Linked DNA regions of Sus scrofa. The main gene of each other region encodes a partner of the protein of the gene in region 2 in a complex. Links are inferred from orthologs where the notes say so. Each region holds a gene or a part of one and is shown on either strand. Other genes may lie near its edges. The genes, in order: ING5, BRD1 and KAT7.

Region 1 (10,154 bases), on a different chromosome or scaffold from region 2:
CCCGTCCTCCGGAGCTTTCAAAGTCGCTGCCCTCCATCTTGTCCTTCAGGTCCGCCTCGAAGCGAGCCAGGTCCGCGTCCAGCCTTCGGATGTGTTTATCCACCTACACAGAAGGATGCTCACACATTGCAGTCAAGCGAGAGGCGACGCGCCTCGGGACCCGCAAGGGCCCGAGTCCACCAGCAGCCCCGCCCGCCTGTGACTGAGGGTAGACTCACGAAGCTCCGCCGGAACAAGGCCCTCTCCTTCAGCGCTGATGCAAGGGGCTCTGTCCCCCGCACACCTGACACACCAGAGAGCCAATCCTACTCAGCCGAGGGCCGGGAAGGCAGGCCACAGGGGAACGACGCGGGGAAGTGCAACGGAATCGGGGCGAGGACCTTTGCTGCTGAACCCAAACTTAAAATGGGAAGAACACATAGGTTCCTCCGCAGAAAACGACTCTGAAGCTTCTGGTACAGGGTGGAGCCCGCGGGCGAAGGAGGACGCAGCCCGGTGCCCATGCGCACGGGACCACGCCGCGGCAGCAACGGTCCTTCGACGTCCCGAGGGACTGCACCGCCGCGGCAGCCACAGCCCGCAGGAGAGACCACAGCTCTCCAGCCTGGAGAGGACCGCCGTCTCAGGGCACGGTGACCTCGTGACAGCAGGGGAAGCCCAGCTCCTGGAAACGCTGCTACCGGCTCAAGCACGCAGGGACACCGCTGTAAGCGCCCCGCGCCCTGCAGGGCCCTCCTCGAATGCCGCGGGACGAGGGCTTTGAGAATCCTGTCTGCGAGGACCCGTCGTGGCTCAGCGGTTAATGAATCCGACTAGGAACCATGACGTTGCGGATTCGATCCCTGACCTCACTCGGTGGGTTAAGGATCCGGCGTTGCCTGAGCTGTGGTGTAAGTCGCAGACGCGGCTTGGATCTGGCGTGGCTGTGGCTGTGGTGTAAGCCAGTGGCTACAGTTCCGACTAGACCCCTAGCCTGGGAACCTCCATATGCCGCGGATGCAGCCCTAGAAAGAAAAAAAACAAAAACAAAAACAAAGAATCCTGTCTGTCTCACTGGCGCTGCCCTACAGCCTCGCGCATATCTCTGGACAATGGCTCTGTGCCGCCCTGTGAGCCCTGGGCAACGCTGACTTGAGCAGGAACAGGACGGAACTTTCCCTACCGCTGACAAAGGCAAAGCATTCAGCATGGACGTAAATGAACGGCTTCTGCAACCCAGTCAACAAGCAGAAGGGGCACAGAAGACCGGAGGGCAGCCGCGGCCCGGGGGGCACCCCTCCCTCGGACACTCCCTCCAGAAGCGCTGACCGGCTGCCCGCTGCGAGGAGGGGACGGAGCCGAGGGGGGGAGGGGCGGCAGAGGCCGGGCGGCCGGGCTCACCATCTCGTAGGTCTGCATGGCCAGCTGCACCTTGTCGTCGCTGTACTCCTTGCACTTGCTGTAGGCGCTCTGGATCTTCTGCAGGTGCTCCACGCGCTGGTCGGGCGAGAGGGTCTTCACCGTGGCAATGTACTCGGCAGCCAGGATGTCGATCTCGGCTTTCTTATCTGAGAGAGACGGTTCCGAGCTCGTCCTCGTGCCTGGAGGCCGGCCCGTGCTCACCGGACCGGCAGCCGATACAGCCCGACCAGAGCGAGTTCCAGCAAAGGAGCGGCCACTGCGGGGCGGTGGGCACAGCCCTCCCAGACACCACGACCACGTGCCCGGGACGGTCCTGGCGCGTGACGCCTGCCCCACCCGTGAGCCGGTGTCCTGTGCACAGGCGTGTACCCTGAAGGCTGAGTCCCGGACAGCCCGGGGCACACACTCCCAACTGCAGAAAACAGGAGACGACCCAAAGGAGATAAATGAGCCATGGTCCAGTCACACCACCGGACACTGCCCAGCCACAAAAGGACCAAGCAAGGGTCAACCCCACAAGAGGTGACGCTGAGAGAGAAAAGCAAGACGCAAAGGAACACACGCAGGATGACGCTGTTGACGCTGAGGGTGGGAACAGACACAACTCAACCGTTTGGTTAACAGGTGAAGAAACGTGCTGCAGGTGAAAACACAGGGCACGGCAAAAAAAAAGAAAAAAAAAGATATGACATAAAAGTGCACAAAAACGCAAAAGACCAAGTTTGACTTTTTTGGTTTGGGTTTTGGTTTTTTTGCTTTTTTAAGGCTGCACCCGCGGCATGTGGAGGTTCCCAGGCTAGGGGTCTAATCGGAGCTGTAGCCGCCGACCTACACCACAGCCACAGCAATGCCAGACCCGAGCCGCATCTGCGATCTCCACCATAGCTCACAGCAACACCCGATCCTTAACCCACTGAGGGAGGCCAGGAATCAAAACTGCATCCTCATGGATGCTAGTCAGGTTCACTAACCACTGAGCCACGAGAGGAACTCCCTAAGTTTGATTTTAAAGAATCATGGTGTGCCCACTGCGGCGCAGCAGAAACGAATCCAATCTATCGATGAGGATGCGGGTTTGATCCCTGGCCTTGCTCGGGGATCTGGCTTTGCGGTGAGCTGGGGTGTAGGCCAGCAACTGCAGCTCCAATTCAACCCCTAGTCTGGGAACTTCCATATGCTGTGGGTGTGGCCCTTAAAGAAAAGCAAAGAAAAGAGAATCAGCAGTCTCCCTGAGACACCACCCAGGGCACGGGCCTGGACAGCAGCCCCACACCAGGTCCCCTGCAGGACTGGTGCCATCCCAGGATCCTGGTGCTCCAGTCCCCAGGGTATCAGGGCCCAGCTCTGGCTGTGCTGAGAGGCCCGAACCCACCTTCCGTCCTCTGGTCCAGCTCTCGCATCAGCTGGAAGTTCCTCTGAAGTTCACAGGGAAGGTTCTCGATACCTGAAACACAAAGACAGGATTAAGATATCCTTTTTGAGCGACTTGTGCCAAACTCTGAACATGCTGGTAAGAGGCTGACACGCTCCAGAGGCTGTCAGAAGCTCGAGAAGGTAGAGGTGAAAGCAGAAACGAGGTGCAAGCAGAGGCAGGAAGATGCCGTGGGATTCTTCCACTCCAAGGCCCAGGTCACCCCTCCCCGGCAGACACCTCTTCCCAGGGAACATGTCCCAAACCCGGAGGCCCCCCCATCTCCCTCCACTTGACTCTGAACTCCAGGGCATCGGGGGCCGGCCAGTGCTGCACGTGGGACTTTATGAGGATGGAGCCACATGGAGCTACCAAGCCCCTGAAACGGGCAAGTATGCAGAGGGACTCAAGTTCTCCTCTTACTCAGGGTTATTTAAAATTAAACAGACGGCAACGGACAGCATAGGTGGAGGGCCCTGCCCCGCTGCTCTCACACCTGCACGCAGCCCTCTCAGTCCAGCCTCGGCCCCGCCGCAGCTGATCACTTTAGGAGCTACATCTGCTCCAAGCCCCACTCCCAGCCCACCCAGGGAGCAGCACAGATGCCATCCTGGCCTCCAGGCCCACCACGCCCTCGAGTGGACCCCCTGCTATCCTAGTGCGGCTGCCAGAACAGTGCCACCCCTGCACTGTCATGATCTCCTGGGCTCCTTCATGGCCTGGAAACTTCTATTTGCCCCACTCAATAGTGAGTTTCAGGAAAAGGAAGAATCATGTCTGCCTTCCTGGAACACAGCCGGCGCTCAAGGTCCCAAGCCTTCACACAGGAGCCCCACACAGGACAGAACTCAAGTCCCTCAGTCCCTCCACAGGGGCCCACCAGGCAGGCTCCAGGCCAGAGAAGGGCAAGCCGCAGTGCCACCCAGCAGACACCTAGGGCGGGCCCCCTAATGACACTGCTGGGGAAACCTCTCCCTCCACTGTGTTCTCCCACCCAGGACCCTGTGCTCACGGGGGGCCAGGTGAGCAGAATAAACGGCCAGGACTGAGCAACCCCCTGGGAGGGCTGGATCCTCGCCATCTTCCCCAGAGCAGGGGGTCACGCCCTACTCTCAGCAACCTCGGGTGGAGCTCCCAGCCCAGAGTGACTCTGAACACCCAGTGCTCCAGAGCCACCTGACCCAGCCCCCACCCAGGCCAACTCCCAGCCAGAGCCAGGCAGCAGTGTTTAAAGCTAGGGTCTCCACTCTCCAGTGCTCAACTGTGACAAGCTACTAAGCCTCTGCAGGCAACACCACCCCCTCTGTGAAAAGCGTGAACAACCACCTGCTCAGGAGTCCTCCAGAGATGGCTATGGCTCAGTGGTGATGACCACTGCCCTGAACACCCTACCCAGCCCTGGAAGCTGCGCCCCCAAACCCCCTGCACAAAGACAGGTGCCCTGGGGGACCCTCCACATCAGTATGCCTAGTAGATGCACAAACTGGGACTCGAAAGCAATTCCCAGGTCACAGCACAAGTAGGCAAGGAATCCAGGCCCTCCAAGCTCGCCAGGCCCTGGGACCCCCAAACCCGGCCCAGAGTCCAAGAGGACTGGGTCTCAACCACCTTGGTGGGCCACCTCGGTGGGGAAGAGCAGGGAACCAGGTAAGGCAAGGCCCCGCTGGGAAGGAGCGAGGCCCGGTGGAGAGGGCGGGGCATACGTCGAAGCGGGCGGTGCCTAGGAGGCGGTGGGCGGTGCCTGGTCGCGGGCGGAGCCTTCGGTGAGTGGGCGTGGTCGGGTCGGGAGGGTAGGGCGGGGCCGCGCTGGCCCCGCCCCGGCCGCGCCGGCCCCTCCCCGCCGTGACGCATCTGGAATTGGCGCGGCCGTGATGGCGGGACCCCGTGCCGCGCCCCCTGCGCGCCCCTCCCCCGTGGCCCCGCCTGCCCCGCGCGCGCCCCCGCTGCCTTTGCCGCCGGGCCGCCCCGCCGCCCCCACGAGCCCCGGGGTCCGTGTGCGGAGCCTGACGCGCGAAGGAGGCGCGGCGGGGGCGCCCCGGCGTGGGTGGCGGGCCTGGGTGGGGCGGGGGACGCTTACTGTCCAGGTAGTGCTCCAAGTACATGGCGGTCGCCATCTTCGTCCGCGGCCGCGCTCTGGGTCTGCGCGGGCGGTGGCGCCGCGGGAGGCGGAGGCGGGGCCGGCGTGGTCACTATTAATGAGCCCAGCGCGCTGATTGGGCGGACGCCGGGGCGGGGCTCCTCTGGGCACGCCCCCCGGCTTCCGGTCGGGGTCGCGGCGGGGCGGTCGGAGCAGGTGCGGGGCTGCGAGGTGCGCGAGCACGCTCGGCCTCTGGAGGTTTTCGGGGGCTGGTGGGGGTGGCGGGTGGCGCCGTTTCATCAGCGAAAATGCCGGTGTAAAGATACACCCCTTCTGTTGAACTCTTCCGTAAACCCCAGGCAGATATTTAAAAGTGGAAGCACATTCATTGTTTTGTCAATTTTACCTTCGTTATAGAAATTCAAGCTGTTCAGGGAAAGGAAAATTTCCAACCTCCCCAAGGAACAGAACTGTGATTATGTTGCTCACCTTTCAACCAAATGTTTGCAGTTTCCATGCAACCGTTCTGGCCCGATTCAATGCTTGATGTGAAACTGCACACACACGCTGGCGGAGCTAATTGCATACTACCCACTTTCTTTATTAAGTAGGTGTTTTTATTAATAACTTTATTTTTAGAGCAGTTTTTGGTTATCAGAAAAATTGAGAAGGAAACAGTTCTTATATACCCCCTCCACACACACACAGTTTCCCTTATGAACATTTTCGGAGTTCCTGTCATGGCTCAGAGGAAACGAATCTGACTAGGAACCATGAGGTTGTGGGTTCGATCCCTGGCCTCGCTCTGTGGGTGCAGGATCTGGCGTTGCCGTGAGTTGTGGTGTAGGTCTCAGCCATGGCTCAGATCCCATGTTTCTGTGGCTGTGGTGTAGGCTGGCAGCTGCAGCTCCAATTGAACCCCTAGCCTGGGAACCTCCAAATGCCACGGATGTGGCCCTAAAAAAATAAAAAAACATTTTCCATTTCTGGGGTACATTTACTACAACTGATGAAACCATATCGATTTTCCATTAGGAGTCATTCTGTGTGGTAAGACTATGTTAAGTACCCACCAATACAGTTTCATACAAAATAGTTGCTCTGCCTTTAAAATGGCCTGCTCCACCCATGCATCTCTCTCCCTGCCCCAGCCCCTGGCTTGGTCTCTGGTTCTGCCTCTTCCAGACTGTCATGTAGTTGAAATCAAACAGCATGTAGCCCTTTCAGATTGACTTCTTTCTTTTAGTAATAAGCTTTTGGGGGGGCGCACCCATAGCATGTGGAAGTTCCCAGGCCAGGGATCAAATCTGAGCTGCAGCTGTGACCTGTACCACCTATGGCCACAGCTGCAGCAATTCCATATCCTTAATCCACTGTGCTGGGCCAGGAGTCAAACCCAGAGCTGCCACAGAGCTAACCCTGGACTCTCAACCCACTGCGCCACAGCCACAGCAGGAACTCCAGTAATATGCATTTTAAGGTTCCTCCACGCCTTTTCGTGACTGAATGGCATCTTCTTTTTCTTTTTTTTTCTCTTTAGGGCCGCACTCAAGGCATATGCTGCCGGCCACGGCCACAGCCACACAAGGTCCAAACCGCATCTGTGACCTACAACACAGCTCATGGCAACACCGGATCCTTAACCCACTGAGTGAAGCCAGGGATCAAACCTGCATCCTCATGGATCCTAGTGGGGTTCATTACCACTGAGCCATGACCAGAACTCCTAGGATGGTATCTTCTTAATGCTGAAGAATATTTCATTGTCTTTTTGTCCCACGGTTTATCCATTCATCTATTAGACATCTTGGTTGCATCTAAGTTTTGTCAATTATGAATAAAGCTGCTATAATTATTTCTGTACATATTTTTGTGCGGACATAGTTTTCAATTCCTTTGGGTTAATACCAAGAACCATGATGGCCGGATCATACTGTAAGATTATATTTAGTTTTGTAAGAAACTGCCAAACTGTCTTTTTTGTCTTTTTGTATTTTTAGGGCCGCACCCACGGCATATGGAGTTTCCCGGGGGGGCCTAATTGGAGCTACAGCTGCCGGCCTACGCCGCAAGCCTCAGCAACGCCGGATCCGAGTCTGCGACCTTCACCACAGCGTGTTCCTAGTCAGAATCCTTTCTGTTGCGCCAGGACGGGAACGCCTTTTTTCTTTTTTCCAAACTGTCTTTCAGAATAAGCTGTACTATTTCAGGTTTTTTCGTTTTGTTTTGTTTGTCTTTTTGTCTTTTTAGTGCCCCCTCCCGCCCCCGGCCTATGGAGGTTCCCAGGCTAGGGGTCTAATCAGAGCTGTAGCCACCGGACACCAGATCCTTAACCCACTGAACAAGGCCAGGGATTGAATCCAAATCCTCACGAATTCTAGTCAGTTTCATTAACGCTGAGCCATGGTGGGAACTCCTCTTTTGCCCACTTTTAAAACTGAGCTATTGCTTTTCTTAATTGGTGAGTCACACAATCCACTTTGCAACTATTTACTTTCTTTTTTTTTTTTTTTTGTCTTTTAGGGCCACACCCGCAGTATATGGAGGTTCCCAGGCTAGGGGCTGAGCCTACACCACAGCCACAGCAACATGGGATCCAACCCCCATCTGCAACCTACACCGAAGCCCAGGGCAACACCAGATCCTTAACCCACTGAGCAGGCCCGGGTTCGAAACTGCATCCTCCTGGATACTTGAGGATTCTTAATGGCTCAGCCAACGGGAACTCCTATACCATTTACATCTTTAACTTAATTCTCCCAATACGCCTCAGGCGTCCTGGCGGAGTTTCCCCCGGTGTTACGGTGCGGGCCACCGGTGGCCGTAGCTCAGCAAACCGCGCGGGTGAACGCCTGTTGATTGTCTCCAATTTTTCATCACCTTAAACAGTGCTCCATTTGTTCATAGACCTGCACATACCCATCGCCTCAGAGTAAACGACCTCTATTTTTATTCATTTTTCGTCTTTTCGAGGGCCACACCCACGGCATATGGAGGCTCCCAGGCTAGGGGTCAAATCAGAGCTACAACTGGCGGCCTACCCCACAGCTCACGGCAATGCCGGATGCTTAACCCACAGAGCGAGGCCAGAGATCGAACCCGCACCCTCATGGTTTCTCGTCGGATTTGTTAACCACTGCGCCACTATGGGAACTCCTAAACTACCTTTAAAACATAGTGGTTAAAAGAAGCATTTTCTTATAGCTCACAATTTTCATGAGTCCGGCGTTCCAGCAAGGCTCACTTGGGTGACTCTTCTAAGTGATACAATGGAGATGGCTGGGGTGGCTGGAAGGCTGCATTTGACTGGTACCGTGGACCAGAGCACACGCACGTGGCCTCTCCAGCCCAATGGTACCTCTTAGGTGGCTACTCAGGGCTTCCAGAAAGTTCTGAGAGGCCCTGGTGGAAGCCGCAAGACCTCATCTTGGTCACCCCAAGACATCACCTGACCACATGCTATTGGTCAAGTGAGTCCGAGGGACCAACCCAGATTCGAGAGGAGGAAGGTTAGACCACGCCTCTCAATGGGAGGAGCAGCCACTCTGTTGTCTACGGCTCTTTAGATAAATTCTTCAAAACTGTTTCGCTAGCCCAAAGGTCAGGTTCTAAGTGCCAGTCTTCTAAACGCATTGCCTGAGGGAAGCTAATACTGACACTTGACTGAGTGGGTTTTCACTTTTGCTAACCCTAGATTTCACCAGGCTTTCTTATCTTTGCTCCATGTGATTGCAAAAAAAACTTCAGTGTTTTGTGTTTCTTTGATTTTAAGCGAGACTAAACAGATTTGCACAACTTTGTTGGCTGTTTGCAGTTCTTCCTTCATTTTTTTTTTTGTCTTTTTTTTTTTTTTTTTTTTTCCTTTTTTTAGGGCTGCATCCGCGGCATATGGAGGTTCCCAGGCTAGGGGTCCAATCGGAGCTGTAGCCGCCAGCCTACACCACAGCCACAGCCACTCGGGATCCGAGCCACGTCTGTGACCTACACCACAGCTCACGGCAAGGCCGGATCCTTAACCCACTGAGCGAGGCCAGGGATCAAACCTGCAACCTCATGGTCCCTAGTCGGATTCGTTAACCACTGCGCCACGACGGGACCTCCTCTTCCCTCATTTTTACGTCCTTTACTATCGACTGTGGGCAAACTGGTCTTCACGCCTTTCATCTGAAAGAAAATCCTTTGCGATCGCAGCAGCCTTTGTCATGGATCATGTGATGAAAACGACTCCATTCAGAGAGCAGTTTGTCTTCTTTTGTTCACATAAGAATTGATGAATTTTCTTACAAAGATGCTTTTGGTCACTGCAAAAATGAGAGATGACTCCTAGAGTTCCCGTCATGGCCCAGCGGTTAACGAATCTAGCATACACGAGGACTCGGGTTCGATCCCTGGACTCACTCAGTGGGTTAAGGATCCCCTGTTGCCATGAGCTGTGATGTAGATCACAGACACGGCTTGGCTACCACATTGTTGTGGCTGTGGTGTAGGCCAGCAGCTACAGCTCTGATTGGACCCCTAGCCTGGGAACCTCCATATGCCAAGTGTACCACCCTAAAAAGCAAAAAAAAAAAAAAAAAAAAATCAAAAATGAGAGATGAGCCCTTACTTACTTCTACATACTTTAGAGAAGGGTTTCCCAATCTTGGGACAATGGATATTTGGGCCCAAAACCTCTCTGGGGGGCTCTCCCGTGCTGGTAGGATGCCAAGCAGCACCCCCGGCCTCACCCACCGGGTGCTGTTACTACCCCCCCACAAGGTGTGCAGATCAAAATGTCTCCCAATTCAGAACAAGTGCTTTAGGGCAAAGCTAAGCTACACTAACAAAGAAGCCCAACCAGGAGGTCCTGTCGTGGCGCAGTGGTTAACGAATCCGACTAGGAACCATGAGGTTGCGGGTTCGGTCCCTGCCCTTGCTCAGTGGGTTAAGGATCCAGCGTTGCCGTGAGCTGTGGTGTAGGTTGCAGACACGGCTCGGATCCCGCGTTGCTGTGGTTCTGGCGTAGGCCGGTGGCTACAGCTCCGATTCAGCCCCTAGCCTGGGAACCCCCATATGCCGCGGGAGTGGCCCAAGAAATAGCAAAAAGACAAAAAAAAAAAAAAAAAAAGAAGCCCAACCAAAACCCGGTGGCTCAGAAAGACGGAATCTTATGTCTTACCTAACAGTCCAGGGGGCCGGCAGTCATGCTGATGGGTCACGCAGGAACCCGGACTCTTCCCAGCCTTCGTGGTCAAGGCTGGGTTGCAAGGTGGGATGAGGCGGGAG
Region 2 (10,028 bases):
TGCATGTTGCCCAACAGCAGATCCGTGAGTGAACCGAGTGACGGTTGGCTTTTTATGTTTTTTTCTGGCCACACCCATGGCATGCCCAAGTTCTCGGGCCAGGCATCGAACCCGCTCCATAGCAGGGACAGTGCCAGACCCCGAAGTCCTAGGCCACCAGGAACTGTGACGGTTGTCTTGGGTACAAAGTTTTGGGGGTGCTTTGTTGTGCAGCATCTGATAACTGCTGCACATCCAGTTTCTCGGGGAATGGCCTGTCCTTTACCCGGAAAACTGTGGCCCTGACGTTCCGGCCGGCAGGGCAGGCCTCGGCTGTGACCCACCTTCTTGCCGTCACTGTGACTGGAGTGTGACTTTAACAGCTGTGCTTGTTTGGTGTGGTTTTACTCTGAATTTCCAACATTGCTAGTGAGGTGATTGGCCCTTCTTCTCTGCAAGGAGACTAATGACAGGATTTGCCCATCATGTTTTGGCTTGTGTGTCTTTTCCTAATGGATTTAGAAGGGTTCTTTCTGTATTTTGGATACTAATCATTTGCAAAGTGGACCCGTTCCAAACACCCTCTGGTTTTCAGTTCTTTGTTCTCTTCAGAGTCTTTTGAGGAACAAAATTTACGTCACATCATTTCTCTCCTGTTCAGTGTCTGTGACACTTTTAGGAGTGTTTCTTGTAGAGACTACGCGACGGTATTTACATTCTTTTTTTCTTGTTTCTTTTTAGGGCTGCATCCACAGCAGATGGAGGTCCAATCGGAGCTGCATCTGCCGGTCTACACCACAGCCACAGCAATGCAGGATCTGAGCTGCACCTGTGACCTACACCACAGCTCAGGGCAATGTCGTATCCTTAACCCCCTGAGCGAGGCCAGGGATCGAACCCGCGTCATGGATGCTAGTCAGGTTCACTAACCATTGAGCCACGACGGGAACTCCCGAGTATTTACGTTCTAATTAGAGAGACTGTCTTTTGATAGGTGAATTTAACTCCATCCTGTCTCTGATTACTCAATGTTTTATTCCTGTCATCTCATGCTACGTTCTTTATTAGGTATTTACCTTTTTCTCCTTTCTGCTTTTTGTTGGCACTGTCAATTTTTCTTTTTTGTTGTTGCTGTTCTTTTTTTTGTTTGTTTTTCTTTTTGCCTTTTCTAGGTCCACACCTGCGGCATATGGAGGTTCCCAGGCTAGGGGTCCGATGGGAGCTGCAGCCACCGGCCTACGCCAGAGCCACAGCAACTCCGGATCGGAGCTGTGTCTGCGACCACAGCTCATGGCAACACGAGATCCTTAACCCACTGAGCGAGGCCAGGGATTGAACCCGCAACCTCATGGTTCCTAGTTGGATTCGTTAACCACTGCGCCAAACGGGAACTCCTGTTTTCTTTTTTTTTTCACTGTCAATTTTTCATTTTAGTTTTCCCCCCAGGTGTTTTGAAATCTGTAAATCTTTTTTTTTTTTTTTTTTCTCTTTTCTAGGGCCGCATTCTCAGCATATGGAGGTTCCCAGGCTAGGGCTCTAATCGGAGCTGCAGCCGATGGCCTACGTCATAGCCCCGCCAGATCCAAGCCGAGTCTGTGACCTACACCACAGCTCAAGGCAACACTGGATCCTTAACCCACTGAGTGAGGCCAGGGATCGAACCTGCAGCCTCATGGTTCCTAGTCGGATCCGTTACCCACTGAGCCATGACGGGAACTCCTGAAATCTGTAAATCTCATTTCAATTTTTCTAGTGGAAACTTGAGTATTTCAGACTTTTTTCTATTGATTCTAAAACCTAGCAATACAAGCAATTTCATGTTTTGACTTCCTGCTCCCCCTCCTTGCCATATGCCATGTTGGGCTCAGGAGAGATTTTCTCTCGAGTTCTTTGACTTTCTTTGAACAGTCTAAGCTGGTTTCTTGGTTGGCATCCAGGGCTTACTCTTGGAGTCACTTTTTGTTTTGCGATGGTGTATCTTTTAGCCCTTTTTGAGAGATCTAGCATGTGGTAAAGCTTGAGTATTTACAGGGGTGAAGACACTTGTATTTGCTGTTCACTGTGTGTGGAATTCGAGGTTCAGTTCTCAGAATGCTGACAATTTCGCTCCTTTGCCAACTGACAGTCAGGTTCAGTCTGATTCAAGAAGATCTTTCCAGGAGTTCCCGTCTGGTGCAGCAGGTTAAGAATCCGACTAGTATCCATGAGGATGTGGGTTCGATCCCTGGCCTCACTCAGTGGGTTAAGGATCCAGTGTTGCCGTGAGCTCTGGTGTAGGTCGCAGACCTAGCTCAGATCCTGGGCTGCTGTGGCTGTGGTGGAGGCCGCGCAGCTGTAGCTCCAATTTGACCCCTAGCCTATGAACTTCCATATGCCGCAGGTACAGCCGTAAAACACGGGCAAAAAACCAAAAAGGCCCTTCCTCTGAAGGTTTGGAGCTAGTCCCTCTGGCCTTGGAGTTCCAGGCCATTCCTCCCGGGTGTCACCCCTGCTGGAGTCACTCTCCTGTCTCTCTTCCTTCTCGAGGCTGCCTCCGGCCTGCTGGCTTGCATCTGACGGGCCTGGGGAGGAGAAGGGCGCAGTCCTCCACTGCTGCCCTTGGGCCTGGACGACAGACGCCTGGAAGAGCAGAGGACGCACATGCAACTGCTCGTCTGGCGCAGATGTGGTCAGGCCCAGCGGTGGCCCTGCCTCGCCTCGGCCTGAGGATGTGTATGCAGGCTGGACCTGGCACAGGAACTTGACCACTAGGTGACACTGGCTGCTGTCCTAACCCACCCTCCCAGCCTTCGCTTTCGACCTGTATGCCGTGTGCAGTGGGGCACAAGCACTGGTCAGTGACAGGCCCCACTTGGGACACTTGGCTGGAAGGGCCGCCCGTTCTGCATAAGGCATCTGGAGGAGACCCTAAGCAGTGGAGGTGCCCTGCAGGGAAAGGTCTTTCCAGCTCAGAAGAAACCTGCGTGCCCCCCCCCCCCCGCCCCCAGCTGCAGGCTGGGGGCCACCTGCCACTCCTTGGCTCGTTGGGGCCACTGCACTAACCTCAAATCCTCAGGGAAACCAAGGAACCCTCTAGGCCTCTCCCTCCTCCCAAAACATTTTGGGACTTAATCTTGGGGTGACAAATGCCACAAAAGCACTGTATTTTGGAGTTTGAGCCAAGTTCAAAGTGGAAGCAGCCAGTGGGAGGCTAAGCTCAGGCCTCTGCACGCCAGCGCCCAGGGGCCTCTCGGCTTCACCTGGACCCCAGAGAGGGGCTCAGGTACGGAGGCTGCCTGGGCCCAGGCCTGCTACACCTGAGACAGGGCAGGGCCAGCTGCCGCGCCCCCCGCCGGCCCCCCTCCCTCTGCACATGCAGACTCCCCCAAACCCTGTCTCCTCCGCCAGGTGCTCATGGGTCCCTATTCCACCCAGCCTGGCACTCCCGGTGCCCTCAACACTCAACTGGGCCGGTCCCACCCAAAGCCCCACTATTCCAGGTCTGGCGTCCCACCTCTTCATCCCCTCAGGCCCCTCTCCCCGATGCCCCCTTCCTTGAATCCCCTGCCCCCCAGGGAACCCCCAGCCTCCCATCAGGAGCTTCTCCCCCTCCCTGCGTCCTCTCAGAGGAGCCTCCAGAACTTCGTGTCAGGCGCCCCTCCCGGCCCGGCGCCCCCCTAGGCCTTGTCTTGGGTCCCGGTCCCCGCCCCGCCCCCCCCCCGGACCCCTAGCCCTCGCGTCGGGTCCCCCCTTGGAAGACCCCCCAGCCCTCGCGTCGGGTCCCCCCCCTTGGAAGACCCCCAGCCCTCGCGTCGGGCCCCCCCCGGAAGACCCCCCAGCCCTCGCGTCGGGTCCCCCCCTTGGAAGACCCCCCAGCCCTCGCGTCGGGTCCCCCCCCTTGGAAGACCCCCCAGCCCTCGCGTCGGGTCCCCCCCTTGGAAGACCCCCCAGCCCTCGCGTCGGGTCCCCCCCTTGGAAGGCCCCCCAATCCTCGGGTCGGACCCCCGTCCTCGCCCGCCCCCTCGGAGGACCCCCGCCCGGCCCCCGCCCGGCGTCCGCGCGGCGCCGGCGCTCAGGGCCCTCGCGCCCTCGGCTCCCCTCCCCCCGGCGGCGGCGGCGGCGCGTCATGGCGGCGGCGGGCGGGGCGCGTCTCGCACGCAGCGCGCCGGGCGGAGCGCTCGCCGCATTGTTTGCTTCGCTGGGGAGCGAGCGAGCGAGCGAGCCGGCCCGGGCGTCCGAGCAGCTCCGCGCCCCGCCGCCGCCGCCGCCGCCGCCGCCGCCGCCACCGCCGTCGCTGCCGCCGCCGCCGCCGCCGCCGCCGCCCGCCGGCCGGGCCCCCGCGCCGGGCCTCCGTCCGGCCCCGCCGCCCGCGCGAGCCGCCTGCCCGCGAGCCCGCGGCCGCCGCGCCGAGAGCCGGGCCGGGCCGCCGCCGACAGGAGCCCGCGCCCAGAGCGGCGGCGGGCCGGGCCTGCGCGGCCGTTGGCGGAGGAGCCGCGGGCGCCATTAGCGCCGCCTCGGCCGCGCCGGCCCCCGCGCCCGCCGCCCGGCTCCCGCGGCCGCGGCCCCGAAGGTGAGTGCGCCGGGCGGGCCGAGCCGCCCCGCCGCCGCCTCGCCCCGCGGGCCCCGGCCTCTCGGCGGCGGGCGCCGCCATGTTTGGCGGCGGCGGCGGCGGCGCATTGTCCGCGGGCGGCGGGCGGAGGGGCGAGGGAGGCCGCGGGGCCGGGGCGGCGGCGGCGGGGAGGCCGGGGGCCGCGCGGCGGCGGCGGCGGCCGGGCGGCGGGGCGGCGGGCGGCGAGAAGGGAGGGCCGGGGCCGGGGTCCGCCGGCCGAGGGGCGCCTTATGTAACGGGCGCGCTCGGGGGGCCGAGCCGGGGCAGGAAGCGCCGTGTTCGCGGGCGCGGGCCGGGCGGCCTCCGCCCCCGCCCCCGCCCCCGCCGCGGTGGCCGGGCGCCCGGCGGCCTCCGGGCTCTTTTGAAGAAGTAACTCGGCGGAGTGTCGTTCGCGGGGCCGCTCGCGCTGCAGGACGGAAGTCGGAGCCCGCTCCGTCGCCGCCGGGTGGGCGGGCGGCTGCTCCTGCCCGGCACCTGCTCGCCTGCGGGCCCGGGAGAGCTGGAGGGGCTTGGCCGAGGCCAGGCAGCATCGGCGCTGGCGTGGGCTCCGCGGAGCTGGCCCGCGGGCGCCCGGCCCCTCTGCCCCTCTTGTGGCCTCCTGGCTTTTCCAGAAGCGTTTAAGGAGAGGCCGGTCTGCTGGTGGGAATGCGTGTCCCGTCCAGAAGCCCAGGTCTGGCAGGAGCGGGGCCGAGAGCAGAGCTGGTGGGTGCAGGGGAAGGACGGGTCGGGGGCAGGGACCCTGTCAGATGAGGAGCTGTGTGGCCTTTGAGGGCTATTCCTCTTGGACCAAGTGGCCAGATAAAGAGCTGCCGTGCCCTTCGGGAGAGCGGGGGTTTTGAAGGGCTGGTTGTGCTTAGAGCCACTTGGTACTCTGTTGTCGAGAAGAAAACTACATGTTGGCTTTTAACTTGGTGAGTAGCCAACTGTTGCATCTGCTCTGCCCCAGTAAAGACCCCTGAACTGGGCCCGGGCGCCCGGGGATCCCCTGGGTGCAGGCTCTGGGGCTGACAGCTGGGCCTCGCCCATCTCCCTCACAAGGGCTGGCAGGGCCAGCTTGGTGGTGGCTTGGCTGACCGCTCCCCAGGGTCCAGGGCTGGGGTGCAGGTGAGTTAGGGTCTGGCCGATCAACTGCGGTGTTTTCCATGCTTCTCCTTGCGGGGGGGCGGCGGCTAGTCTAACGTGAAACAGGTTTCTGCTCGAGGAAAGAAAAAGGAAACCGCAGCCTGAAAGTTCTCGTCTTCCAAGCGCACTTTGGGTCCGTCTGCTGGGATTTCCTTTGGGGTTTAACAGCGCGAACCTTGGCTGGCTCTTCCCAGAGACTGACAGCCACCCGGGCCCACAGGCAGCCGTGGGCCTTGGGCTCCACCTTGAAATGTTTGTCAGTTCCTCTCTTAAACATCATTTTGCCTCCTGTCAGTCAGGTGTGGTTGTTTGGAGGGTGGAGAGTCCTTGTCACCTGGTCTAAGGTGCCACTCTGCTTGGTAGGCAGTGGTCCAGAGTCAGGAGTCTCCCTCCAAGGGAGACGGAACGTAGGCTTGGTCAGTGACAGATGGCAGACGTCCGAGGAGAGTAAATTCCTGTAAATGTCCGCGGCCAAGTCCATGGCCAAGATCTCAGGTGCCTGAGTCTGTGTGGCACGGGGTGGTGGGGGTGGCAGGTGTGCAGGGGTCTCGGTGCGGCCACTCCTGAGTCCCCGTAGAGGCTGGCTGGGGGCCTCCCAGGGGTGAAGCCTGCCCCCAGGCCAGTGCAAGGCTTCCCTCTTGGGTCCTGGTGGCCGGTCGCCTTGTGCCTCCGCGTAGGTGTGGGGGGAACGTGTTCCTGGGAGGATGGGTTACTCCCGGCAGGGGTACTGCCGGGGTCAGCGCCCTGGGCTCCAGGGTGCTCTCCTGGGCTGTAGCAGGGCGGGGGGCGCCGGGGACCAGAGCCCCTCACGGGCCGGCCTGGTGCTCACAGCCTCCTGCCCCTGGAGTCCAGCTCTGGGCTGGGCTTTCTCCGGCAGCCCTGCTCGGGAGGGATGTTGTGCTTGGCTGGGTGACCTAAGAGGGTGGCCGGCGAGCGCTGGAAACGAGACTGTCCTGGAAGGACCCGAGACCGTCTTGGAAGGACCCGTGGGCGCGGGAGCCTCTGCAGGGCCACGCCTCCGCCCACCCGCTCTGGTCCCTGGAGTCCCCGGGGAGGGTGGCCTGGTGGGATGAGTGATTTTGGAAACCTCAGGGACCGGTGAGCGGGGGGTTCGTTTGATAGCGCGGGAGTCTGCGCCGCCCCCGCATCCTCCGCGCCGAGGTAACGTGTGCCTGGTCTCTTTCAGGGAGTCGGTACCAAATGAGGAGGAAAGGCCGAGGTCATCGCGCCGCAGCGAGGCCCCCTTCCTCCCCGAGCAGCACGAAGCCCTCCCCCGCGCGCGAGACCCTGACCTACGCGCAGGCGCAGAGGATGGTGGAGATCGAGATGGAGGGGCGCCTGCACCGCATCAGTATCTTCGACCCCCTGGAGATCGTGCTGGAGGACGACGCCACCGCCCAGGAGATGAGCGAGTGCAACAGCAACAAGGAGAACAGCGAGCGGCCGCCCGTGGGCTCGCGGACCAAGCGCCACAAGAACAACCGCGTCAAGAAGAAAAGCGAGGCCCTGCCCAGCGCCCACGGCGTGCCCGCCTCGGCCAGCGCGCTGCCCGAGCCCAAGGTGCGCGTGGTGGAGTACAGCCCGCCGTCGGCGCCCCGGCGGCCGCCCGTGTACTACAAGTTCGTGGAGAAGTCGGCGGAGGAGCTGGACAACGAGGTGGAGTACGACATGGACGAGGAGGACTACGCCTGGCTGGAGCTGGTCAACGAGAAGCGCAAGGCCGACTGCGTGGCGGCCGTGTCGCAGAGCGTGTTCGAGTTCCTGATGGACCGCTTCGAGAAGGCCTCGCACTGCGAGAAGCAGAAGCAGGGGGAGCAGCAGTGCCTGATCGACGAGGACGCCGTGTGCTGCGTGTGCATGGACGGCGAGTGCCAGAACAGCAACGCCATCCTCTTCTGCGACATGTGCAACCTGGCCGTGCACCAGGAGTGCTACGGCGTGCCCTACATCCCCGAGGGCCGCTGGCTCTGCCGCCACTGCCTGCAGGCCCGCGCCCGGCCCGCCGACTGCGTGCTCTGCCCCAACAAGGGGGGCGCCTTCAAGAAGACGGACGATGACCGCTGGGGCCACGTGGTGTGCGCCCTGTGGATCCCGGAGGTCGGCTTTGCCAACACGGTCTTCATTGAGCCCATCGACGGCGTGCGGAACATCCCGCCCGCCCGCTGGAAGCTGACCTGCTACCTCTGCAAGCAGAAGGGCGTGGGCGCCTGCATCCAGTGCCACAAGGCCAACTGCTACACCGCCTTCCACGTGACCTGCGCCCAGAAGGCCGGCCTCTACATGAAGATGGAGCCCGTGAAGGAGCTGGCGGGCGGCGCCGCCACCTTCTCCGTCAGGAAGACCGCCTACTGTGACGTGCACACGCCCCCGGGCTGCACCCGGAGGCCTCTGAACATTTACGGGGACCCGGAGATGAGAAACGGCGTCTGCCGGAAGGAGGGCTCGCTCAAGACGGTCAGGGCCACGTCCAAGGTCAGGAAGAAGGCCAAAAAGGCCAAGAAGGCACCGCGGGAGCCCTGCGCCGCCCTGCCGCCCGTGTGCGCGCCCTGCATCCCCCCGCAGAGGTAAGTGCCCCGCGGCCCCCCGCAGAGGGAAGCGCGGCGGGCTCTGCGGCCCGAGGCCGGGCGCGCTGAGGCCCACGCGGGGTGACGGCCCCCCTGCGCAGCTGCGCCGAGTCGCTGCTCCCCGGGAACGCGGACGTTGCCGGCGACTCGGGTCTGTGAGACCAGCAGGGCGGTGGTGTCCTCGGTGCCCGCTCCGGCCGCGGGGTGCCCTGGCCGTTGTGGCGGCCTGGGTGGCTGCACCTGGGGCCCGTGGCACCCCCGAGGGTCGCCACCGGGCAGGACGAAGTGCTGTTCCTCGCCCTCCCCCTCGCTGCAGTGCGGGCATCTCGGGGAGCCCCCCCTCTGGGCTCGTGGGCGAACGATCCATTGTTGTCACTGTACCAGGTCAGGTGCCTGCAGAGGCGCGGGTTCCTTCTCGGGCCGGGGAGCTTCCACCTGGGCATCGCTGAAACCGATCTTAGGAATCTTGTGGGTTTTTTGTTTTTTTTTTTTGCTTTTTAGGGCCGCACCCGCGGCATGTGGAGGTTCCCAGGCCAGGGGTCGGATCAGAGCTGCAGCCGCCGGCCTACGCCACAGCCACGGCAACGCGGTATCCAAGCCGCGTCTGCGAACTACACCACAGCTCACGGCAATGCCGGATCCTTAACCCACTGAGCGAGGCCAGGGATCGAACCCACAACTTCATGGTTCCTAGTCAGGTTCATTTCCACTGCGCCACCATGGGAACTCCCTTCTTGTGGGATTTTTAAAATCACTTGTGGAAAAGTTGAGCAGGGTGGCCGAGGAAGGCCAACACCAGGGCAGAGAGCCGCGTGGGGCTGCGAGGGCCGCGTGGGGCGGGGTGCTGGCCCCCTTCCTGGTGGGGGCAGCCTCTGCTTTCCTGGTTCGTTCCCTGGCATTTCCCTGGCGGTCCGGACGGGGCCTGGAGTGGTCTGTGCTGGTGGGGTCAGGACCCCGAGGGGCCCCCTCACCCCTGCACGGAGTCTAGGGCCGTCCCCACCCTGGGCTTGTCTCCTCCTCTGATTGTCCCCTTGCCACTTACTTGTTCCTTCTTTCTCCTTTAAAAAAAAAAAACCTTTCTAGGGCCACACCCGTGGCATACGGAGGTTCTTAGGCTAGGCTAGGGCTCGAATCGGAGCTGCAGCTGCCGGCCACCGCCGCAGCCACAGCTGTGCAGGAGCTGAGCCGCGTCCGCGACCTACACCACAGCTCGTGGCAACGCGGGATCCTTAATCCCCGAGAGAGGCCAGGGATCGAACCTGCGTCCTCATGGATCTTGGCTGGGTTCGTTTCGGCTGAGCCGTGATGGGACCTCCCTGACGTGTCCTTTTTGTTTCCTCCCGTCTATGCTGTGGCTCGGGACACGAGGCAAGTGATGGACGCTTTCCCGCCAGAGCCTGAAGTGCCCAGAGGTCTGGGGGAGACTCGAACCCCGGCCTGAGCTTCGGGGAAGTGGTAGCGCGGTTCCAGTTGGGCGTCCGTCCCGGGAGCAGGCCTCCCGCGGGCTGTGCCGTCAGGTCGTCCGGCGAGGGGGCCGCCCCGTGGGGTCCGGCTTTCAGCCCCAGGGGGTCGGGTCCTCGCTGTGTGTGGCCGGTGGCGGCCTGGCCGGTTTCCCCACGTCGGCCTCGGGCTCTTTGTGGAGCAGCTCAGACTCACGACGGGGCCGGTCAGTCCGGTCCAAGCGCCTTGAAAGCGCTGCCGGTGCCGCGTCTCCGGAGAGCATGTCCCGCAGAACCAGGGCTTCTGCGAGTCCGTCGCTCGGGTTTGGATCTGCT
Region 3 (10,309 bases), on a different chromosome or scaffold from region 2:
GGAGGCCGTGAGGCCAGCCAGGCAAAGCTCCCAACCTCCAGGAACTCCCAGGCCTTTGAAGCAAACAATGAACAACCACACTTTGTATTTGAAATATGGTACCTATCATTTTCCTGGCTAGGGCAGCATTTGAAAGGAAATTGAGGGTCTGTTAGGGAGCTTCAAATGTAACTGAGGAGATGAGATACAGATACGAGAAGGAAAATTCACAAGAACGTACATAAAAGATTACCCCGCTACCTCTACCCTGTTGGGTTCCTCCTCCACTCTGGGTAAGTTATCATTATGGCACCATTATTATTATGATTTTTTCCTTTTTGCCATTTCTTGGGCCGCTCCTGTGGCATATGGAGGGTCCCAGGCTAGGGGTCGAATCAGAGCTCTAGCCACCGGCCTACGCCAGAGCCGCAGCAACTCGGGATCTGAGCCCCGTGTGCAACCCACGCCACAGCTCAAGGCAGCGCTGGATCGTCAACCCACTGAGCGAGGCCAGGGATCGAACCCGCAACCTCATGGTTCCTCGTCGGATTCGTTAACCACTGCGCCACGACAGGAACTCCATTATGGCACCATTCTAACTGCCACTCTGATCAGTCCTCCTCACAGCTTCCAAATAGAGATCTCTAAAGTGCAAGTTGGCATTCCCGTCGTGGCGCAGTGGTTAACGAATCTGACGAGGAACCATGAGGTTGCGGGTTCGATCCCTGCCCTTGCTCAGTGGGTTAACCATCTGGCGTTGCCGTGAGCTGTGGTGTAGGCCAGCAGTTGTAGCTCTGATGTGACCCCTAGCCTAGGAACCTCCAATATGCCATGCGTGTGGCCCTAGGAAAGACAAAAAAATAAAAATGAAAAACAAAGTGCAAGTCAAGTCGTTAGACTTCTTTGCTTAAAGTCCTTCAGAGAGTCCCCTCACCTCCAGCTCAGGCTTCTCAGCAGAACATTCAAGACTCTGCAGGACCTGGTTCCCCAAATTATTCCTGCCTCTTCTTTTGTCAATCACTGCAACCCCTGCATGCCCTTAGTCACCCCCACACAGTCCTGCTCCACAGGTCTGCGCTTTTGCACAGGCTGTTCCCTTGGCCTGGAAAGCCCCTGTTCTCCAGGTCCATTGGCAAACTTAATCGTCCTGTGAAGTTCCACTCTTACTTCATCTCTGTATGAATCCTTTTCCAAACCCTCAGTGTCCTTCTCTGTACCACTTCTGAACTTTGCTTATCTTTCTGCTGTTCCATTAATACTCTGTCGTGCTCTGGAACGACAAGCTTCCTGGCCTGGGGAAACACAATGTTGGGTTTTTTTTGTTTGTTTGTTTGGTTGGTTTTTGTCTTTTTGCCATTTCTTGGGCCGCTCCAGCGGCATATGGAGGTTCCCAGGCTAGGGGTCCAATCGGAGCTGTAGCCACAGGCCTACGCCAGAGCCACCAGCAACTCAGGATCCGAGCTGCATCTGCCACCTACATCACAGCTCACGGCAACGCTGGATCCTTAACCCACTGAGCGAGGCCAGGGATCGAACCTGCAACCTCATGGTTCCTAGTCAGATTCGCTAACCACTGAGTTACGACTGAAACTCCCGAAACACAGTGTTTTAATGCTTTAACTCAATATATAATATATAATACATAATGCCTCGGTAACATTCGGAGCCTCCTGCACTGAAGCGAGTCTCAATAGACAAAAACAAACAACCACTAAGACTATGGAAAGTTATTTTTCACAATCATTAGGATAGTCCAGCCATGACTAGGGTGACTGAAATTATAATGATCAGTAATAATGGCTATTTATTGAGCGCTTATTCTGTCAGGGACTGTGCTAAGCGCTTTACAACAATCATTTCCTTTAATCCTTATAACAGCCCTGTGACATGGCTATTGGTATCTTGACCTCACAGCTGAGAAATCTGAGGCACCAATACCTTTTAAAACTTGTCCAAGAGCAAAGCAGACAAAGTAGCAGGACTGAAATTCAAATCCAGATCTGACATCAGAGCCCAGTACTGGACACGAGAACAGCTGATGAATAAAATAAATAGGAGTTATGTTCCTATTACTTGTTTCGGGAGGAGTGAAACAGAACACCTACCAAACTGTAAAGTATATATAAATCAGTAAGTACAAACTAACATATCACTGTGCCCTACTACCTTAGAAAGAATACATCAGGAGAGACCTTCTGAAGAAAGCAAATTTTAAAGATGGTCGGGAGATGCATCAAGGCAGGAAGAAAAGCCTGTGTGAGAGCGCAAAGACAGGGAGAATAGTAGGACCACTTTTGCAAAGTCTGGCGGATGAGGATTGTCAGGGGCCCGGTCAAAGGCTTTAAACCAGCAGTTCGTGCATCACGAGCTAATTTCTGCTGGAGGGTATGCTCTTCAAGGACAAGGCATGTCTCAATGAAACTGTAAACTCTTTCGGTGTTAGCTGCAGTGTTTGAAAATGCAGTGCGAGGGATTAATGTGGAACATTTGTAATGTTGGTATTTGTATGATGAATGGCTAAGTCAGGATAAGATTTTATTCTCATATGCTAATTCCCAGGGAGGGATACTTCACCATCTTTGAGGGCTAGACATTCTGACAGTGTGAAACAGTAAACATATTTTGATTGAGGAACAAGAATTTACTATGGGTAGAGCACAGTCTGGCTGCCATTAAGGATGGTATAAAAGAAGAGAGATACGCTTTTTTTGTTGTTGTTTCGTTTTACTTTATTTTTAGGGCCGCACGCACAGCATATGGAAGTTTGAACATGGAAGTTCCACATCTGGGACCTACACCACAACTCATGGCCATGCCAGATACTTAACCCACTGAGGCCAGGGATGGAACCCACATCCTCATGGATACCAGTCGGGTTTGTTACCACTGGGCCACAACGGGAACTCCCGAGATATGGTCTTAACATAAGTGCTCTTTACCAGTAGTTGGGGAGCCAGAACACCCAAGAGTAACCTTGGGAACACCCGAGTAGGTGCAAAATAACAGTAATAGTGTGAAATTAAATAAGTTCTTTTGTGCAGTTCAACCTAAGTAGGCCATTTAAAGGTGTTTATGGTAAACATTAAAACCTAAATACTAACAGCTGCCTGTGTTATTACCAGCCCAGGATACACCCAAGGAGAGTGCTAAATAAGGGTCTGGAACTCTAATCCTTCTGAGTCCTCTGCTTAGCACAACAATCAGATGTTTACCTTCTGCTGCTTTGTTCTTTAGTTCAGCTCCAGGGGGAAATCTCCATCTTAGCTAGCCTCAGGTGAAACGGGCTCCAGGATCCTAACTTAATGACTCTTGGATTTTTTTTTTTTTTTTTTCCTCCCAGTCTCTGGGCAAAGCTTTACTCCACACAAGGCTTTTCTCCCAGCGAGGTTAAATCCTCAACGCTTGCTGTTCACTTCTCAGCCTTTTCTTACCGCTCTTCTGCCAACCTTACATCTTCCACCAACTTCTCCTTTCTAGGCAGCTAACATCAATGCCTTTCTGAGCTCCAGCTTTACTAAAAATATTCCTTCCTCTTCCTCCAACTCCTGACTCAAGCGTCTGGATTTCGAGAGGTCACTTGGGCTAATGGGGTTCAATGCTTTTCCAACTCTGGTACCGCGCACGCGCGCACACACACACACACACACTCATCCCGAGGGCCACCCAAGGCTCTCAAACCCATACAGGATGAGGGGACGAAGTGGGTGTGCTCACCACAGAGCTAAACTGGTAATTCTTTGGAGCAACAGTTTCTGGAGAATGGTTGTGTCTCCTTTCGCGAGTGAACGGATCAACATACTTGCGGTTCGCTAAAGGCAAGGACAATGTCTCCTCTACCAGACAAGAAACTTCTTCATGAAGGACGCTACCTTCTTTCTGTCCTTTCACAAGCCCCCATTCCCAGCACTGTGAGACACCGAATGGCTCTTAAAATAGTTTCTTGTGCAAAATAGCCCTTCCCAATTTTGAGTTTATGTGATAAAGGGAAACGTCCTTTAGCCAATTCGGCGACTAAGGGGTTAAACCTCAGCAACCTGATGGATTCTGGGGCTTTCTTTCCTCGACTTCAGAAATTAAAACCAAAGGGAAGGGAAATTTTGCCCATTGTAAAGATGAGAACTGTTAACTTCAACTGTCAGGCTTCTGCCCCAAACAGGAATGGCTACCCACGCCTACAGAGGATGCCATTCCCCTAACTAAAAATGGCGGGCCCCAGTTTCCACTGTCGCTGCCACTTTCTGCCCAATTCCAAAATGGCTCCCGCTAGCCTCACCGGAGGGGGAAACCTCCCAGAATCCTCTCTGGCCCTAACGTCAGGTGACGCAAGCCTCAGCCGGAAGTGGAGGAAAAAGCGCCTCAGCCCGCGGCGCCTGCGCAGAAAGGTCTAGACGCTGTGAAGCAGGAGGCACTTGGGATCGTCCGCAGGATTGGGACTGCTACAGAGGCCGCCACGGAGCCCGCCGGAGCCACCGTTCCCACTGCTGCTGCCGCCGCTGCCCGAATCGGAACCGTCGGGCCGCAGCCGCCGGCAATGCCGCGAAGGAAGGTGAGAGGAACGGGACAGGAGGGATGGCGGGTTTCTAAAGGGCAGTCGATTGAGAAGAGTGACGCAGTTGGCCACGCCTCACAGTGGTTGGGTTCCAACTTCCCGCTTCCCTGAACCTAGCTCAGCAACCCTCGCTTCTGTCCATACCCAACAGAAAAATGTGGGCCCGACTGTGGCCTCGGCCTATGCTTGCACCTATTCCCGCCCTCTGCTTGCCTGGCTCGGAGGCGTTCTTCTCGGCAATTGGTCGCTGAAACGTCTAGAAGCATGTTGATTGGCTGGCGACACCGCCCATTTGGGCCCAACGGTCACCTCCCCGCGTGTGGGGGCGGTGTCTAGGCCCGGCTCTACCGCTCTCCGACTGGATGTAGAGAACGATCCCTCTTCTCTTGATTGGCGGGGCTTGGCAGTCTGTCCTGTGGGGGCGCGGTTTAGCGGGACCGCGATTGGGTGGCACGAGTCCCCTCCCATCCGTATGGTGATGCTCATAGGAGGAGAGGCGGGGTTTGGGGAGTATCCTTCCTTTCCCCGCGGAGGACACAACAAAGCAGAGGACTGGGTGGTAGAGAAGCAGCGCCCACTCCCGAGGGATCCCTTCCAGGCCTGTTGCACCTAAGCTGCGGTTTTCCCTTATGTGCTTAGTTGGACAGCGCCTAGAAAATGAAGTTCGTAAATCGGAAACTTCCTAGAATTAAATGGGACTTGACGATGTCATCTAGGGACACCCCCATCCCTTTTCTCAGCTAAGCAGAGGCTTAAGGGAGTGCCCCAAGCCACTCAATTAGGCAATGACAGAGCCTGGACTACAGGACAAATCTAATTCAGTTCAACAAACGTTTATTGACTCTTCGCTATGTGCTGGTTGCCGAGGACTCGAAAATTAATTAGACATGATCACTGGCTTAAGGAATCAGAGTCTGAGAGGAAAACAGACATTTAAATAACTGTAGAAGGGTTTAGTAAATTCTCTACTTGGCAGTAATAAAGATTAATGGGAGGGAAGTGGAGCAATTTAATCTGCTCTGGAGTAAGATGGGAAGTAGTTGGTGAAAGCAGTAGAGGAGAGCTGAGCTCCAGGGTCATGCCAGGAAGGGATGGGCAGAGATGATTAGGGATTCAAATAGCTGGGTAATTGGATTGGATGACCTTTAAGACTCCCCTTTCATCTTAATTTTTGGTGATTCTCTGTGGATCCTCCACTCATTTCCTGGCAGATTATCCTTGAAATATTTGGAACGCTGGGTGGTGGTCTTGCTCATTTCTGCAGAAATCTTTCTCTTCACAGAGGCTTTCAAATATTTACATTTTTTAATGTCTCCAAAATGACCTACATTGATAGGTGGTATTTATGTTAAGGCTCACCAAATAGTACTGGTGTCTTGGAATAGGCCCACAGTCTCCTTTTTGCAATCCCCAAGTACAAAGAGTTCTTGAAAATGTGTGTTTTTTAGTAACTTATTTCTTGGCAGAACCTGTTCTAAACTGTTCTGAGGCTATTTACAGTTTTTGTGTCTCATTTAGTGTGATTGTACATATATTTTGCTGCAGAAAGGGTGTTATTTGCAGGATGTATGCAGACTATTCCTTTCTAAAAAATTATGAATTCTAAACACATCTGATCCTAAGGGGGCTTTTTGTTTGTTTTTGCTTCTTGTATGTTTTTTTTAAGCAAATGCATCTCTCTTTATGGTTTAAAATTTTTTTTGCTTTTTTTTTTAGGGGTGCATCTGTGGCATACAGAGGTTCCCAGGCTAGGCATCAAATCAGAGCTACACCTGCTGGCCTACGCCACAGCCACAGCAACGCAGGTTCTGAGCCACATCTGAGAGCTACACCACAACTCACAGCAATGCCAGATCCTTAACCTGCAACCTCATGGTTCCTAGTCGGATTCGTTTCCTCTGCACCACAGTGGGAACTCCTCTTTATGGTTTAATAAAGGGTATGGTGTTAGCATAGGAGGGTACCCCAACCCTTCTGGCTTTGCTCTAGGATTCCCTGGGAAGGAAAGAAAGTTGGAATTTAATACAGAAAGCTGATGATCAATAGGTGATAATAAGTTGAGGGAGAAAATGTAACATACTTTGAGCACTTAAATTGTGCCAATTTGGTTACTGCTGTATGAGCATGCTGCAAAATGGGAGAAAAACTTCTGTTTTTTCAAACAAGTGTTTAATGCTTAATTGATAAAAGTTATCTTTATGGTTAATTGTGTCTCTGGAGGCTGATAATTGACAAATAATATTAACTGTAAAGGTGATTTTAAAAAACCTTCTGTTTTTGCATACCCATGTGTCTTCGTTTGCAAACCACTCCCTCCCCCCTTTTTAAAAGCACTTTTGGGGTACATGTGGAGAAACTTCAAAGGGAGATGACATAAGTAAGAAGAATTACTATTTTTCTCCCTAAGTTTGAGATCAGAGTTATAGACCATGATATTTTGAATCAGTGTGTGGTTTTTAATTCATTTTATTTTTTTATTTTTTGGTTTTTTTTTTTTTTTGCTTTTAAGGGCCATACCTGCAGCATATGGAGGTTCCCAGGCTAGGGGTCTAATCAGAGCTACAGCTGCCAGCCTGCACCACAGCCACAGCAATGCAGGATCCGAGCCACATCTGCAACCTACACCACAGCACATGGCAACACCGGATCTTTAACGCACTGAGCGAGGCCAGGGATCAAACCTACAACCTCATGGTTCCTAGTCGGATTCGTTTCCGCTGAGCCACGGTGGGAATTCCAGTGTGTGGTTTTTAAAAATGTAATAGCTGTTTATGTAGACTTTGAGCAAAAGCTACTCCAGAATTAAGTGAGGCTGTCACTAACATTTTTCTCTTTACCCTGGACTTTGTATAAGTGCATTGTTATGTCAGCCAGACTATTTTGAGTTCTGTATTTTCCAGTTTCCAAATCAATTTGTTTCAGAACTAATGATGATACAGTAAGAATTAATTCTCTTTATTTATTTAATAAAGATGCACTATTCGTAGGTTGTTCCATTTAAATGCTCTAAATGAAGGGAAATTGGCTGTGGAGTCCTTTCTTAGATTTGAGCTTGGTGTTTTCAGCATCACAGTTTGTTTTATTTCCAGTGTTATTTCACACCCACGGAGTTAATGTTTCTGTGCTAATGTCTGGATCTATGGTGTTACAGAGGAATGCAGGCAGTAGTTCAGATGGAACCGAAGATTCCGATTTTTCTACAGATCTCGAGCACACAGACAGTTCAGAGAGTGATGGCACTTCCCGGCGATCTGCCCGAGTCACCCGCTCCTCAGCCCGGCTAAGCCAGAGTTCCCAAGGTAAAAGGCCGCTTCCTTCTTCCTGATCACACCTCACAGCTCACTGGTCATCATGTTACTGTGCTAGTTCATGTGGAAACTGGTCCCTTGACGTGATGCTGATGACAGAATCTGGTACAGTGCAGAGCAAATGACTGCTAAAGTGTCAGGTCCTTAAGGATGGTTCTGTTGGGGGTCCTGTCCAATTGTAGACCCGGAAGAACTATCTCTGGTATGGTACATTTGTGACACCTGTATGTCTTGAGTCTTTTAATTTTTTATGGATTACAGTTTCCCTATAAAATGAGAATGGTATCTTTTCACTTTTTGTTAGAATGGCCTAGGAACTTGATAAAGTGGTGTCTCGAATGTGCTATTGGAGGAGGCCTAAGACCTTTAAAACCATGTTTAATTTTGTACTATAGTCAGGTGCACAATCAATACAGATGACCCAACTATCAACTATAATAGTACCCAGAATTTTGCTATGGTAGTAAAGAATAGAGAATCTCGGTGTTGGAAGGTTCTCTAGTACAGTTAGCCATCTGGTCTTAGATTTGGAGGGTACCCACTGTCTTGGCTCTGCTCTGAGATTCGCTGGCAAAGAAAGAAAGTTGTGAGTAATACAGAAAGCTGATGGTCAATAGGTGATGATAAATTAAGCGGGAGAAGTATACTCCGAGCACTTAAAAGTGCTGATTTTTTTTTTGCTGCTATATGAGTGTGTTGCAGACTGAGGGAGAAACATCTGTTTTTTCAAGCAAGAAAGTGGGAACATTCTCTCTGTGGTTATTCCTAACTTTATCTTTGAATTTAATATTTCAGCTGAAGTATAGATAATTGTCTCTTGATTTCTCAACTTCTACGTTTGTATTTTGGGGCATAATGGGAATATTGATAAACGGTTGCTATAATTCAGGTATTATGCAACATAGTGGGATACTGTGATAGAAAAATCGGAGTTCCTGCCCTCAAAGAGCTCACAGTGTAATGTGGGATGTCAACTCTTATGGCAACGCATTGTGCTAAGGGCTGCGAGAGAGGTTTGCATAGAGTGCTGTGGAAGCCTAGAGATGGAAATCTTTAAGGATCTAGGAGGAATTTACAAGTTGAAAGACAAGAAAGTGTTATTATAGGCAGAGGGTACAGAACATGCAAAGGAATGGGCATAAATGCTCTTAGTATAAATGGCCATGCCAAAGTTCCTGTTGTGGCTTAGTGGAATGAACCTGACTAGTATCCATGAAGACAAGGGTTTGATCCCTGGCCCCGCTCAGTGGGTTAAGGATCTGGCATTGCTGTGACCTGCGGTGTAGGTCGAAGACATGGCTTGGATCTGGCGTTGCTGTGGCTGTGGTGTAGGCTGCCAGCTGCAGCTTGGATTTGACCCCTGGATGTGAACTTCCAAATGCCACCGGGTGTGGCCCTTAAAAAAAAAAAAAAAAAAAAAAAGCCATGCCCTGGTCACCTGAAAGTTATAAATATTCAGAACAGATAGGAATTACATGAGCTCTGAGTCTTTTTCTAATGACTGTACTTCATGAACACTGAGTGCCACAATGGGAGGGCACTGTTCTCTATGTGGTCTCTGTAAGGGGGCCCCCTCTAAAGCAAAAAGTAGACTGCATTGTAAATGGAACCCCCTGGAGGCATGCAAACTGAAAACCTAGCTGTGTGCTAGCTCTTACATGGGAATTTGAGAATTTCAGGGGTTTTTTTGTTTTTGTTTTTTGTCTTTTTAGGGTCACACCCATGGCATATGGAGGTTCCCAGGATAGGGGTCTAATCAGAGCTATAGCCTCTGGCCTACACCACAGCCACAGCAGCCACAGCAACGCCAGATCCGAGCCACATCTACAACCTACACCACAGCTCATGGCAACGCTGGATCCTTAACCCACTGACGGAGGCCAGGGATCAAACCCGCAACCTCATGGTCCCTAGTCAGATTCGTTTCTGCTGTGCCATGATGGGAACTCTGAGAATTTCAGTTTTCTTCATTAAAGAATTAGGATTTTTTGTTTACATAACATATTAGGGTTTTTTTTTTTTTTTTTTTTGGCTTTTTGCTTTTTGCTTTTTAAGGCCATACCCGCAGCATATGGAGGTTCCCAGGCTAGGGGTCCAATCGGAGCTAGAGCTGCCGGCCACAGCCACAGCCACAGCAACCTCATGGTTCCTAGTCAGATTTGCTTCTGCTGTACCACAACAGGAACTCTTATTAGGGTTTTTTTTGTTTGTTTGTTTAAATATGCTTTAATTTTAGCTTCAGATTTATTTTATTCCTTTTTTAGGTGTCATCAGACTGGAGATGTAAAAAGGTTGCTGGGTGCTTCAGAATAGATTTCTCCATCCAAAAGAATTTTAAAATTGTGTTTTTGCCTTGCCCTTTACAAATCTAGATTATATTGCTTCAGGGTGTCAAAGGGGGTAATCAGGAAGAAAAAGATTCTTTTTTTGGGGGGGTCTTATTGCCATTTCTTGGGCTGCGAGCCTGCAGCAT

Evidence for each region.
Region 1: BRD1 (region 2) and ING5 share a complex: the UniProt entries of both Homo sapiens proteins name them as parts of the MOZ/MORF complex. The link is inferred for Sus scrofa from reciprocal best matches to the Homo sapiens genes BRD1 and ING5.
Region 3: the proteins of BRD1 (region 2) and KAT7 are in contact, whole or in part, in a crystal structure (PDB 5GK9), measured with the Homo sapiens proteins. The link is inferred for Sus scrofa from reciprocal best matches to the Homo sapiens genes BRD1 and KAT7. Residues at the interface, in XP_047297239.1 of Homo sapiens: Val40, Ile42, Glu43, Ile44, His49, Arg50, Ile51, Ser52, Ile53, Phe54, Asp55, Pro56, Leu57, Glu58, Ile59, Ile60, Leu61; in NP_008998.1 of Homo sapiens: Leu531, Phe534, Gly536, Lys537, Glu538, Ile539, Ser540, Ile541, Lys542, Pro552, Val553, Val556, Gln560, Leu565, Tyr567, Lys571, His572, Leu573, Val574, Leu575, Lys576.

The regions. Positions count from the first base shown.
Region 1 is NC_010457.5:140,259,553-140,269,706, reverse strand, and holds the start of ING5 (inhibitor of growth protein 5), read right to left. Parts: upstream 5,000-10,154; 5' UTR 4,927-4,999; coding exon 4,890-4,926; intron 2,846-4,889; coding exon 2,774-2,845; intron 1,548-2,773; coding exon 1,381-1,547; intron 104-1,380; coding exon 1-103. UniProt on the Homo sapiens protein: Component of the HBO1 complex, which specifically mediates acetylation of histone H3 at 'Lys-14' (H3K14ac) and, to a lower extent, acetylation of histone H4. Component of the MOZ/MORF complex which has a histone H3 acetyltransferase activity.
Region 2 is NC_010447.5:769,860-779,887, forward strand, and holds the start of BRD1 (bromodomain-containing protein 1), read left to right. Parts: upstream 1-4,447; 5' UTR 4,448-4,528; intron 4,529-4,825; exon of another isoform or gene 4,826-5,212; coding exon of another isoform or gene 5,213-5,237; exon of another isoform or gene 5,238-6,875; coding exon of another isoform or gene 6,876-6,889; coding exon 6,890-8,253; intron 8,254-10,028. UniProt on the Homo sapiens protein: Scaffold subunit of various histone acetyltransferase (HAT) complexes, such as the MOZ/MORF and HBO1 complexes, that acts as a regulator of hematopoiesis.
Region 3 is NC_010454.4:25,966,609-25,976,917, forward strand, and holds the start of KAT7 (histone acetyltransferase KAT7), read left to right. Parts: upstream 1-4,548; 5' UTR 4,549-5,157; coding exon 5,158-5,190; intron 5,191-7,679; coding exon 7,680-7,827; intron 7,828-10,309. UniProt on the Homo sapiens protein: Catalytic subunit of histone acetyltransferase HBO1 complexes, which specifically mediate acetylation of histone H3 at 'Lys-14' (H3K14ac), thereby regulating various processes, such as gene transcription, protein ubiquitination, immune regulation, stem cell pluripotent and self-renewal maintenance and embryonic development.